3 linked regions of the Arabidopsis thaliana genome follow. The protein of the gene in region 3 interacts with the protein of the main gene of each other region in a pairwise test. Each region holds a gene or a part of one and is shown on either strand. Other genes may lie near its edges. The genes, in order: AT3G14860, AT5G59740 and AT3G25805.

Region 1 (3,756 bases), 4.4 Mb from region 3:
AGTTGCCCAAATGATGGCCAACCAGGTTCTTCCTTGGTTATTGTTTTCTCATGGACAGGCCGGGAGAGTTTCTCTTTTCCTGGATGCTCTTCTTCATAGCTGGTTTCTGATCCTACCTGCTGTAAGATAAAACAGAAATTGTTGTTGTTTGTAGCATATGGTTGATGAGAAGCGAAAAGGCACGAAAGAGAAGAGATAGAAATTTACCGTCTTTGAGAAGAAAGAATTTCCAAAGCCCTGCTGGAGCATACAAGTAGCATAACCAATGAGAACAGCACCAATAACCAAGAGTATATCTGCACCGAATGTAAGCACGCAATGATCTTCTGTTAACACTCTCAAATCCACCCCTAAACAGAGTGTATGCAAAATGATCTATGTAGTGGGAAGAGGTGTTTTTGACTTCTTACCAGTTAGAGAGATTGAGCTATCATCTTGATAGTCACAGTCCTCTTCACTGAGAGAGATTTGGCGAAGAGCCGCATTTCCTCTATCGATGACCAGCAACGAGCAGGTAGGCCGAACATATACGACATCAAAATCATTTGAGAACTTTGCATCCTCACTTGGCCCATCTCTATACCCAGCTATATTTGATTTTCCCCCAGCTATCGTAGTAACACCTGTAACAAAAATGTTTCAGACTCTTAAGAACACAATTCTTCTCAGTTTAATTATATTTTTCAACAACAAGCAACCATTTCAGTTTTTGAGTGCTGATGTAAGTAAAACCTATAGAAAACTTGTATACCTGAATCACCAATCTTTCGGATGGCGAGATTCAAAGTATCAGCGACATAAACGTTCCCTTTGTCATCCATTGTAACGCCTCTCGGATGGTTAAAACGAGCCTCACTCGGTTTTCCATCTGCATGCCCTGTTTTTCCTTGAAAAGATCCAGCCACCAATCTTCCCCTGCTGTCTGCCCACAAGTACATAGATTATAAACAAAGTCATAAAAACCTCCAACACTAAAAAAGAAAGAGAAAATCAAATGTTTCATATATAGTATAAAGAACCAGAATATTGAAGTAAAATAGAAAATGTAATGCTACAAGCCAAGATCATCAAAAGATCACAGTAGTATCGTTAGTGTATCAAGTATAATCTGCGATGGCATGTGTATATGATTGGATGTACTTAAAACTGCAAAAACTAAGTCATAAAGAAGAGAACTTGTGGAGAACGAAGTTTTACACTGAGACAAGGGAGGAGTGATTTTCATGATGTTGCTATTAAGTTCATCAACAGCATAAAGTTCTCCATCATCAGAAACTCGAATCTTGTAAGGAACAACACCAATATCGTTTCCTTCCACAACAGTTTCGACCAAGTAACCATTCTCAAACTGAAGAACATTAGTGTCTGCACCACAAGTAGCAGTTAGAGAAAGAAACATCAAAACCAAGTTTATGAACAACAAACAATCAAGGCGACCAAATTCAGTCGTACTAATTGAGAATTTACCTGATTGGGATAATTTAGAGGATGATCCAGTAGTCCACTTGAGAACCGATGACATGTGCTTAATCAAGGAACCTAAATTCAATTTACAACAATTGACATAAAAAACCAGAAATTGAAGAGTGAATTCACTAAGAAAGTGAGTGAAGCAGATAGATCAAAGCAACGAAGTTAAGTATGGTAAAGTTACCAGAAGGAGCAGCTTGAGCTTGAAATGGAAAGGAGTGAAGAGTAAAGAAGATCCATAAAGTGAAGAAAGTATTGAAAGAAGAACAAGTAAAGCTCTCAGCGTTTAGAAGAATCTGAGATTTGCCCATCTCTTTCTCTGTATCTTCCAAAAGTACAATTTTATGTTGGAATCGAACCCTAGTAGAGGCGATTCACATCTTCCAACACACCACAACACCAACTGATAGAATGAAACCAATTTGCAGATGACAACAGATTTTTTTCTTTTCTTTTTTGAAAGTAAGAAAAGAAATTGTGTAACGAACATAAAGTTACCTTATTGGGTTACTCGTGTTTTTTATGGGCCTTATAATAGGCCCATTAAGGTTCTTACCTTTCAATACGCCCATTTAGTGAGTGCTAAATCCTTTATACTCACTGCCACTGGGCCACTAGAAGTCTTGAATACTAAAAGACAAAACTAAAGTAAAGAAACAAAAAAAAAAAAGCCGATCAGATCAGAAGCACTTCTACGACATGTCCAATCGCATCAATACCTTTTTCTTGTCTGTTTCAAAATAAGGTAAATAAATTATATGCAACTTTATAGTATGTGAATAGTCGTTAATACATAATAAAAAAATCAAGAATAGTCGTGAATAGAGAAAATCCTTTTTATCAAATCCATACTCTCATAGGCTCATAGCTCTCAATTCTTGGTTTGAAATTGAAATCGAATTGTCTCTCAAGCTTTTTACTTTCCGTTAAACACGGACAATTAACTCACTTTGTACTAACTGATAAAATTACATGCATATGCCACTCCATCACTGCATCAGTGCATTGTATTCATAACTCGTACAAATATAACTGGAATGATGTATTCTCACGATTTCTATATTTATAAAGTTTGCATTTAAAGCCCACCAAGACTAATTTGGTTTACTTATTGCTTATAAGATGATTCAAACTTTGGACTTAGCAATTTTCAATCTTGATTTTGCTTTCATCGATAGGACAACTGTACTTATTGAGTTGCTTCACGTATTTAGTGAAAGCTAATACTGCTATTCAGCTGTCTTTTATGCAACTTGACAAATAATTTAAGAGTCTTATTTTATTTTTGTTCAACATTTAAGAGTCTTATTTAAAAACAAAAGAACTTATAGAGAATGAACTTACATAATTCTCGTTTGATTAAATAAACATCAAGGCAGTTAAATACGGAACTAAAGAAGGGTTAACAAATAGAAAGCGTTTTCAGGAGAATGTGGGAAATGGTTACACTTTTTTTTTAATTTGCCACGTGTCTTTCATCTATCTCACTCATACCGGACGGACCGGTCTTCGCGTACGTACGCAATAACAGCTTCCAAGTAGTTTCATTCCCAACCCAAACCGTGTGATTTTGCGTTCTGTCTGAACATCTTATTCCCTGACATACCGAGAACACCCCTACTTCCTTTTCGACGTTTCTTGGAGTAAAGTAGCAATGTCGGTGTAAATGTCCCTTTACCATGAGGGTATTTACGTAAATCTATGTCCTTTGAACTTCCCTAGGCTCACCCTTCTCTGTCATTTATTACTCTCTTCTCCTCTCCTACGACTCTCTCTCTCAGTCACTCTAAAGCCTTTTTCCCCTCTTCTCATTCTCGAGCTCCGGACTTGTCTTGAAACCGTGAAGGAATCTGTATCTTTTGTATGTTACCCATTTTATTGTCGTTAAGAATCAATTTAGAGGCAAAACGCCGAGAGGTTTGCCCGGGAGAGTGTTTTTACATCGATCAGGTTGGTTAGCTAATCAATATTTATTAATTATCATCTTTTGTTCTTCTGAATGATTTCGTCTTCATTGTTATTCTGCAGTTTCTTATATTCTCATTTTCAATCAAATGAATATATCATTGTGACTTGTGAATGCTCTTACAATCCCATCATTCATACCAATAATGCCATGGTCAAGCATTCACATCAGCTTGAATATTAGTCTCATATTGGTTCTGTGTTTATCCTTTTTCCTTTGGTAGGTAGTGATTTATAATTTCATATGATTGATTTGATCTGCAGGGTTTAAGCAGAGGTTGGTTTGTCATTTCGCCAGTTTGCTTCTTCAAATTCACTCTA
Region 2 (3,756 bases), on a different chromosome or scaffold from region 3:
TCAGCTGAAGATTGAATCAATTTTCATTCCAGAGGTCTAACAGTCAAAATAAACTGAACTCAGATATATAACTAAAGTAAACAAATAAAGAGAAAAAAAGAAGAGAAAAGTCTTCTTCCTAAAGAATTTTCTTAGGACCAGCCACCCACCAGGGAAAACGATTAATGGTCCAATGTCCATAGAAAATGACAGTGACAGAAAATGATGCGACTCTAACAGTATAGGTTCCAGAAACAAATAAGATTCTCACCAGTGAAACTCAAAACACAAGAACAAAGTGTTGTGTAGAATATTTGGTTATGTATCTCCATGTTATATCCTTTAAAGAGCTTGTCTTGGAATGTACTTGTAAAGCCGTCAAACCTGTTAGTGAGCCAATTACCATATACACAATCAATATTCCTTGTTTTAAAACAAGACAACAAAAATTTCAGTATATTCGCATAAACAATAAAACAAGTAACACGGATACACATACCCAAGATAACCAGCCATAAGGGAAACACCCCAAACAGTATTTTCCCTTCCCTTATTGTATGGACTAACATCATCTCCTGCCTACAAATCAGGTTTACATAAACAAACATGATGTTCATGGTAAATATGATAGTCTAACTAACCGAAGCTTTTGATTGGGTATAGAGGTTTATACCGGAAAGAGAATAAAGACAGAGCAGCCAAGGGTCACCAGAAAAGCCACTAAATAGTCAAAGCCCTTATACTTCTTCTGCATAATGAGCGTTCCCCACACCTATATAGAGCACAAATATAAGAATGGTGGATGCTAAACTCAAAGGCATGAGTTTCCAGCTCTGAAAAACTTACCATTACTGGTATCATTTTGGCACACTTTGCAAGAGTTTGGACAGGGAAGCTCACATACTTGAGAGCCTGGAGGCATTACAGATAGCAAAAAGCAATAAGCAGCAAAAAGTAGGCATACAAAGTTCATACATTAAAATAAAAATCCAACCTCATATTGACATGTTGTAGTTAAGATGTTAGTCACTGATATAAGGCAATATTTATAAACCGGAGCTACAGGATCCAAAACTTTCTTGCTTGCCTACAAATTAAAAAAGAAAAGCCAAAAAGGGTTACATAAAACTTTAGCAAATAAGTATAAACACAAAGTTGGTGTTTTTAGCTAGTTTACCAGTAAAGCACCAGCAGAGACAGCTGATGTAGTAAGCCGATTGCAGAAAACAAGAAACAAAGAGTGCTTAAAAAACTCCTTGTTCACTCCATAAGGAACTCTCATTATCTTCTCCTACAAAACCACAATCACAAAACAAAAGAAATTTGTAAGAAAGGGGAGACATTTCACAGAGAATGGTATCATGAAAACAAGACAGACCTGAAGAACACCGTAGATTACAAGAGTAGACATAATGCCGGAAACTGCGAATACACCTTTCCATAATTTGTTCTCTTTCACTCCTCCGTTTACTAATTCTGGCTCAGCCATGGACCATCCACCTCTGAACACAAAACCCACCATTAATGAACCAAATCTAATCACACAATACAAGCTCCGATTTTGTAATGTAAGCGTGAGAAATCACAGTGACTAGTGACTGTAACACACCTTTGAGCTCGGAGATTTCAAGCTAGACGACGGATTGGTAAGAGTACAACGGCTGATCCGGTGAGATCGGAGAAAAATTGTCTCTGTCTCTCTCTCACGCTCCTTTTGTAAACCGTTCTCCGGCGACTTCTCCGTCTGGATCCGATTTGCTCCTCCACCGTCCTCTTTCTCTCAATTCCTTTATTTCCGCCCTTTTTAAAGTTGTGTTCGTTGATGTTTTCCAAGTATAGGCCACGTCAGCAATAAGACAAAGGTCAAAACCTTCTAAAGGACCCAGAGGGTTTCCGTTTATGTGATAGTTCTTCATGATCAACATGTGTGGCCCATGAGAAACACCAGTTAAGTTAGTACGATGACGACGAAAGAAGATAAATCCTAAACTCGTGGTCGTGATTTTTTTCCCTTCCAACCTTAAAAATATGTCTGAAATTTTAAAATTTTCAGATTTTGGTTTTGTGTTGAGAACAACTCCAAAGAGACGAGAAGCAGCGAATCGTACGAGCAGAGAGATATATGTTTCATTACGTCGATGATGGATTCTGCTTTATATCATCCTCGAATCTTTTTCGCTCACAGCTTCATCAATGGCTTGTATAGTTCTCCTAGGTTTGCTAATACTTGCTGGAGATTGGTTAGTCGTTCAAGTTGGGAGATCAAGGCTAGTGAGAATAGTGATCGCAATGTGTTCGATGAAAATCCTGTTAGGAAAACCGACGGGTCGTTGTTTGATTCTGCTTCGTTTGAGACAGTTGACGCGGAAATCACGCCTGAGACTGATGATTTCTTCGTGAGTGACGCAGAGGGTGATCCAGATTGTCCTACTCAAGGTTATTCCTCTATTGAACTTGCTCTTCAAGCTCTACGCAAAGGAAAGGTTTGTTCTTTGACGATTTTCTTGAAGACCAGTGATTATGATGATCTGTTTTTACAGTTGTATAGATTTGGTCTTACTAAAAAATTGTCACTTATGTTTCAGTTTGTGATCGTTGTTGACGATGAAACCGGAGATGTTGAAGGGAATCTGATCATGGCTGCAACTCTTACGAGTCCAAAAGACATAGCTTTTCTGATTAAGAATGGTTCAGGTATTGTCTCAGTTGGTATGAAGAAAGAAAACCTTGAAAGATTAAGCCTTACACTTATGTCACCTGAAATGGAAGACGAAGATTCCTCTGCTCCAACTTTCACCATCACTGTGGTAACGATTTGGATATAGTTCTCAAGAGGGTTTCATTGTGTCTATGTTCTGATAAAGTTCTTGGTTACAGGATGCAAAATCTGGAACATCAACTGGAGTATCAGCTTCAGACAGGGCGATGACGGTTCTTGCACTTTCGTCTCTCGATGCTAAACCAGATGATTTCAGGAGGCCTGGTCATGTATTCCCTCTCAAGTACAGAGATGGTGGAGTTTTAAGGAGAGCTGGTCACACCGAAGCTTCAGTGGATCTAATGATATTGGCTGGTTTACGTCCCCTCTCTGTTCTTTCAGCTATTCTTGATCAAGAAGATGGGTCTATGGCTTCACTGCCGTATATGAAAAAGCTTGCTACGGAACATGATATCCCCATTGTATCGTTGACTGATTTAATCAGGTTAGAGAAGAAGAAGACCATGTATTGAAAAGATAGAAAACACTGGATACAAGTAATTATCTGAAGTTTTATATACTTGTAGATATCGAAGAAAGCGAGATAAGCTTGTTGAGAGAATCACAGTGTCTCGTTTGCCTACCAAATGGGGTCTTTTCCAAGCTTATTGTTATCGATCTAAACTCGATGGAACCGAAAATATCGCCCTCGTTAAGGTACAAAATCACGACTTACTTCTAAATCTTGATCAATGTGCATTGGTGTCATCTCAGAACAACCAACTGGATATTCGAATTTAAGACCAGTCTTGTGTTTGTTTCTGTCTGAATCGTGACCAGGGAAACGTTGGAAATGGTGAGGACATTCTGGTGCGAGTGCATTCAGAGTGCTTGACAGGAGACATTTTTGGCTCAGCACGGTGTGACTGTGGAAACCAATTGGACTTAGCCATGGAGTTAATCGAGAAAGAGGGAAGAGGAGTTGTTGTGTATCTCCGTGGCCACGAAGGAAGAGGCATTGGCCTTGGTCACAAGCTTAGAGCTTATAACTTGCAGGACGAAGGACACGACACTGTTCA
Region 3 (3,756 bases):
ACCATACCCTTCTTAAATGGGCTTTAACGGGCCTTTTGGCCCACGACGTTTATGCTGTTTCGGTCAGGACTTTACTTTTGCGATTCATTTCTTGCAATTTACCAATTTTATAGAGTTTTCACTATTCCTTCGTGAAATATAAATTCAAATGTGGAAAAAACATTACCGATACAAATGATAGAATTTTCTAAAAATGACATAACAAAATTTCCATAATATAATTACATTTGTTATAAGTACAACGACAATATGTGTGTATACTAACAAATTAAATTGATTCATCTTCGAGATTGAGAAACAAATGATATGCAAGTAAACCAAAAACAGGAACAAACCTTAGATACTTCACCAATTCAATCTTGTTCTTCTTCACATTTTGCAGGTTCTCTCCAATCAACCATGGCTGAAAGATTGTGTACAGACATATATCCCATATAAACGCGTAAGCTAGTCTCTCCGATCCCAAATAACCAATCAGATACTGCCATCTGTCCATGATTCCACCGAAATCACCATCTGCTCGACCGTAGAGAGACCACAATGCTGATATCAGACACACCGTAGCTCCGGTCAGACCAACTATTGGTGCACCTTTGGTCATCACTTCACCAAGTTGAGACCTTTTGCTTGGTTTATCATCTGGGTCAGCGTCATTGAGCCGTAAAGCCATGTATGGGATTAGAAACGCTGTTTGCAACATGAGATCAACAGAACCAATAATCTAGTTTAGAGGGTTGCTTTCCAGAGAAACTGAACTTCTTAAATAAAAACTAAAGTTGTATTTACTGTTTGTAAGGAACATCATGAGACTCCATAAGACGTCAAGAGAGCTTTTGTATCGATTTCTCTTTCGGTCTGTGTATAGCAATGGAGCAAACATGAGTGTCCAAGCTATTACAAAGTTGAATAACCCTTCAGCCATCTGTTGAATTTAAAAAAAAAAAAACAATTTCAGAACGATTTACTTTCACTAATACACAAAAACCTGTTCAGCTCAAAGGTACAAACCGGGTGAAGAACAGGAGCTTGTAAGAAGTGAATACCAGCTGTTCTGTCACAAAGTCCATAAGCAAGAAACTTTCATCAAAGATCAAACAGGTAAACGAAATCGATATATCTTAAGGCTGAACATACCGGCGTTTGTAAGAGGCAAGACAAAGAAGAAATTCAGAGAAAGTCCCAAAAGAGAATTCACTGTCTCTGAACTAATTGCCCAAACTGGATCTCCCTGTTGATCATAGAGATTATTTTCTAATTAAGCAACCATACAAGATTACACAATCTAAGATAATGCTAACCACAAGCACATATCATGATAATCTATAGAGAGAAGAGCAAATCTCAGTAATAAGTTGAAGATAACAACAAAACTATTCGATTCTCAAAGCATTCAAGCAGAGAAATTGAAAAAGTTCTCATTCCTAAAATCATCCAAAATCCAAATTACTTTTGAAGATTCATCAATGTGATGCTACATAAACCTTCCAAACATTCACATAATCCATAGATAAATTAGTAGCCACATAGAACTATGGCTATATCAGGAACTATGAGTATGATTCAAAAAGAACAAACCTACTAGATTCTCAAAACATTCAAGCAGAGAAATTGAAATGGTTCTCAATTCCTAAAATTATCCTAAATACTTTCAAGATTAATCAATGTGGTGATTCTACATAAACCTTAGAAACATTCACACAGATATATCAATGTCTCAATCTCAGGAACTATGAATACGAATTTTTGAAGGTATTATCACTCACAGGAGCGTAAGGGAGAAGAAAGAGCCATAGTATATACACAGCTTCACTAGTCCATAGAAGATACCGAACAATTCTCCTTATAGAATCATCTTCAACCTCTACCGTCGCCGTCTCCGGTTTCCGGCGAGCACAGCATAAGAAGGAACTGTCTCGTGTTCGTAATTTGAAACGATTCGTAGACTGCCATGGATTGTAGCAGCGATCGACTGTGGAGATTTCTCTACTCCGAAGAAAATGGCGGCGAATTTGTGGCGATTTGATTTGGGAACTGTGGAGACGGTGACGGAGATATGTCAACGTCGGTGAGGTTATCAGAATCATCGTCGTCCCTTCACTGCATTATCCACCGTTTAGTCGGAGAATTTTTTTTATTTATCTGAGAGAGACTTGCTAAAACGGCAGCGTATTGGTTATCTAAATTTGAAAGCAACGACGTCGTTTTAATTGAATCGAATTACACATTACAGTTGGCTTTAAACAGGCCATTGGCCCACGGCCTTATAAAACGCCGTTTCGGTGAGACACTGAAATTGGATAGTCACATCATTATTATGGGTGCTAAGCCAAATATCTTTTTCATCATTATTATTCGACATTCCTCAATTTTCGTCAACTTCTTTTAACAACCCCAAAATCATGGTTATATAACTTTGCTTTATATCTAGAGGCTTAGTTAAATAAATAAATAAATTCAAAATTAAAAGAACATTGAATCATGTAGGCAAGATTCAATTTCAACTATTTTGGTTAATTTTATTATTTATTTTCATTTAATTATTGTGGAACGTATGATTTATTCATGTAGATAGTTTTCTAATCTCATTAGAATATCTTATCATATAATTTAAGTGTGGACCAAAACATAATTTATTTCTTCTACGTTATTTCTCTTTTTTTTTTGTGTGCAAAATACTTGTATTCATTCAATCAAGAAAGAACCAAATACAAAGAGAACTGACTTATTTCTCTATATGTAAATTATTGAAGAAATTATACCTTTTAAAAAAATAAAAATGTATCGAGATACATTTAAATTTCTGTTGTATGTAATGTGTATACGTGTAATCCAATTTCTTGGGATTCTATATAATTATTTATGTTGTTATGGTCTGTACAAAAATATCACATGCTTATAATATAAGAGATATTTCTTTTATACGTATGTATTCTTTTAATGGTTTTTAATATAGCAATATTAAGATTCATTGTTCATCTAAATAAGTTTTTATTAGTTAGCGCAAAAATAAAAACTCGTTTGGAGAAACAAAAAATGGTTAAAGCGATTAAATATTGTTTTTCAATACATTAAAATTGTTTGCCATCTTCTAAAGTTGTTTACTCACTTCAGAATACATATGATACTCTCTAATGGGAAGAATCCCATGAGCCAAAACCAATTGTCTTTGGAGTAGAAAAAACTTATAGATCTTTTTGTGGAATCATAACCCTAGATTCAGTAGGGTTTATTGAAAAAGGAAAAGATAATACATATCCTAACAAGACATATCCAAACTAATCCACAAAAAAACTAGACGATTCGTGATATATTGGAGATATCAAATGTACGATGTGGCTTCGAATTCCTGCCAAATTCAAAGGGATCTAAAAGGTCTTTAATGATTCTTCATATGTCATGAATTTCTACTACATTGGGATGAAAGTAAGTTAGTTAGTTTTTATTTGTTTGCTTTTCATTTTTGCTAAAATTTTTGATGAATTTTATCAAATATAAAACACAGTAGCGTAGACTATATTGTTAAATTTTTTTTGATGAATTTTATCAAATTTAAAAATACAATAGCGTGATTTTGAGAATAAAGCCTATAATTTTCCTTCATACGGCTTATTGAGTATACATTAGAACTATATTTTTTACAATAGGATAACATAGTTCTGAAATGAGTAAATTGAAAAGAGTTTTTGAATTGATTGAAGTATGATTCTGGTTGTTTAGAAAAAAAAAAAAAATTAATAAAAGAATTAAACCATTATG

Evidence for each region.
Region 1: the proteins of AT3G25805 (region 3) and AT3G14860 interact in a protein complementation assay, tested with the Arabidopsis thaliana proteins (one large-scale study listed by BioGRID).
Region 2: the proteins of AT3G25805 (region 3) and AT5G59740 interact in a protein complementation assay, tested with the Arabidopsis thaliana proteins (one large-scale study listed by BioGRID).

The regions. Positions count from the first base shown.
Region 1 is NC_003074.8:4,999,114-5,002,869, forward strand, and holds the start of AT3G14860 (NHL domain-containing protein), read right to left. Parts: upstream 1,934-3,756; 5' UTR 1,782-1,933; coding exon 1,655-1,781; intron 1,540-1,654; coding exon 1,468-1,539; intron 1,366-1,467; coding exon 1,198-1,365; intron 923-1,197; coding exon 752-922; intron 624-751; coding exon 411-623; intron 297-410; coding exon 208-296; intron 120-207; coding exon 1-119.
Region 2 is NC_003076.8:24,071,280-24,075,035, forward strand, and holds the start of AT5G59740 (UDP-N-acetylglucosamine (UAA) transporter family), read right to left. Parts: upstream 1,808-3,756; 5' UTR 1,589-1,807; intron 1,482-1,588; 5' UTR 1,469-1,481; coding exon 1,358-1,468; intron 1,271-1,357; coding exon 1,157-1,270; intron 1,067-1,156; coding exon 974-1,066; intron 892-973; coding exon 826-891; intron 752-825; coding exon 653-751; intron 559-652; coding exon 479-558; intron 364-478; coding exon 251-363; intron 1-250. Other genes in the region: RIBA3 (monofunctional riboflavin biosynthesis protein RIBA 3), read left to right, coding at 2,118-2,786, 2,857-3,182, 3,265-3,394, 3,518-3,756. UniProt on the Arabidopsis thaliana protein: Sugar transporter involved in the transport of nucleotide-sugars from cytoplasm into the Golgi and/or the endoplasmic reticulum.
Region 3 is NC_003074.8:9,426,086-9,429,841, forward strand, and holds AT3G25805 (uncharacterized protein), read right to left. Parts: upstream 2,193-3,756; 5' UTR 2,085-2,192; coding exon 1,764-2,084; intron 1,229-1,763; coding exon 1,135-1,228; intron 1,047-1,134; coding exon 1,009-1,046; intron 923-1,008; coding exon 787-922; intron 688-786; coding exon 269-687; 3' UTR 153-268; downstream 1-152.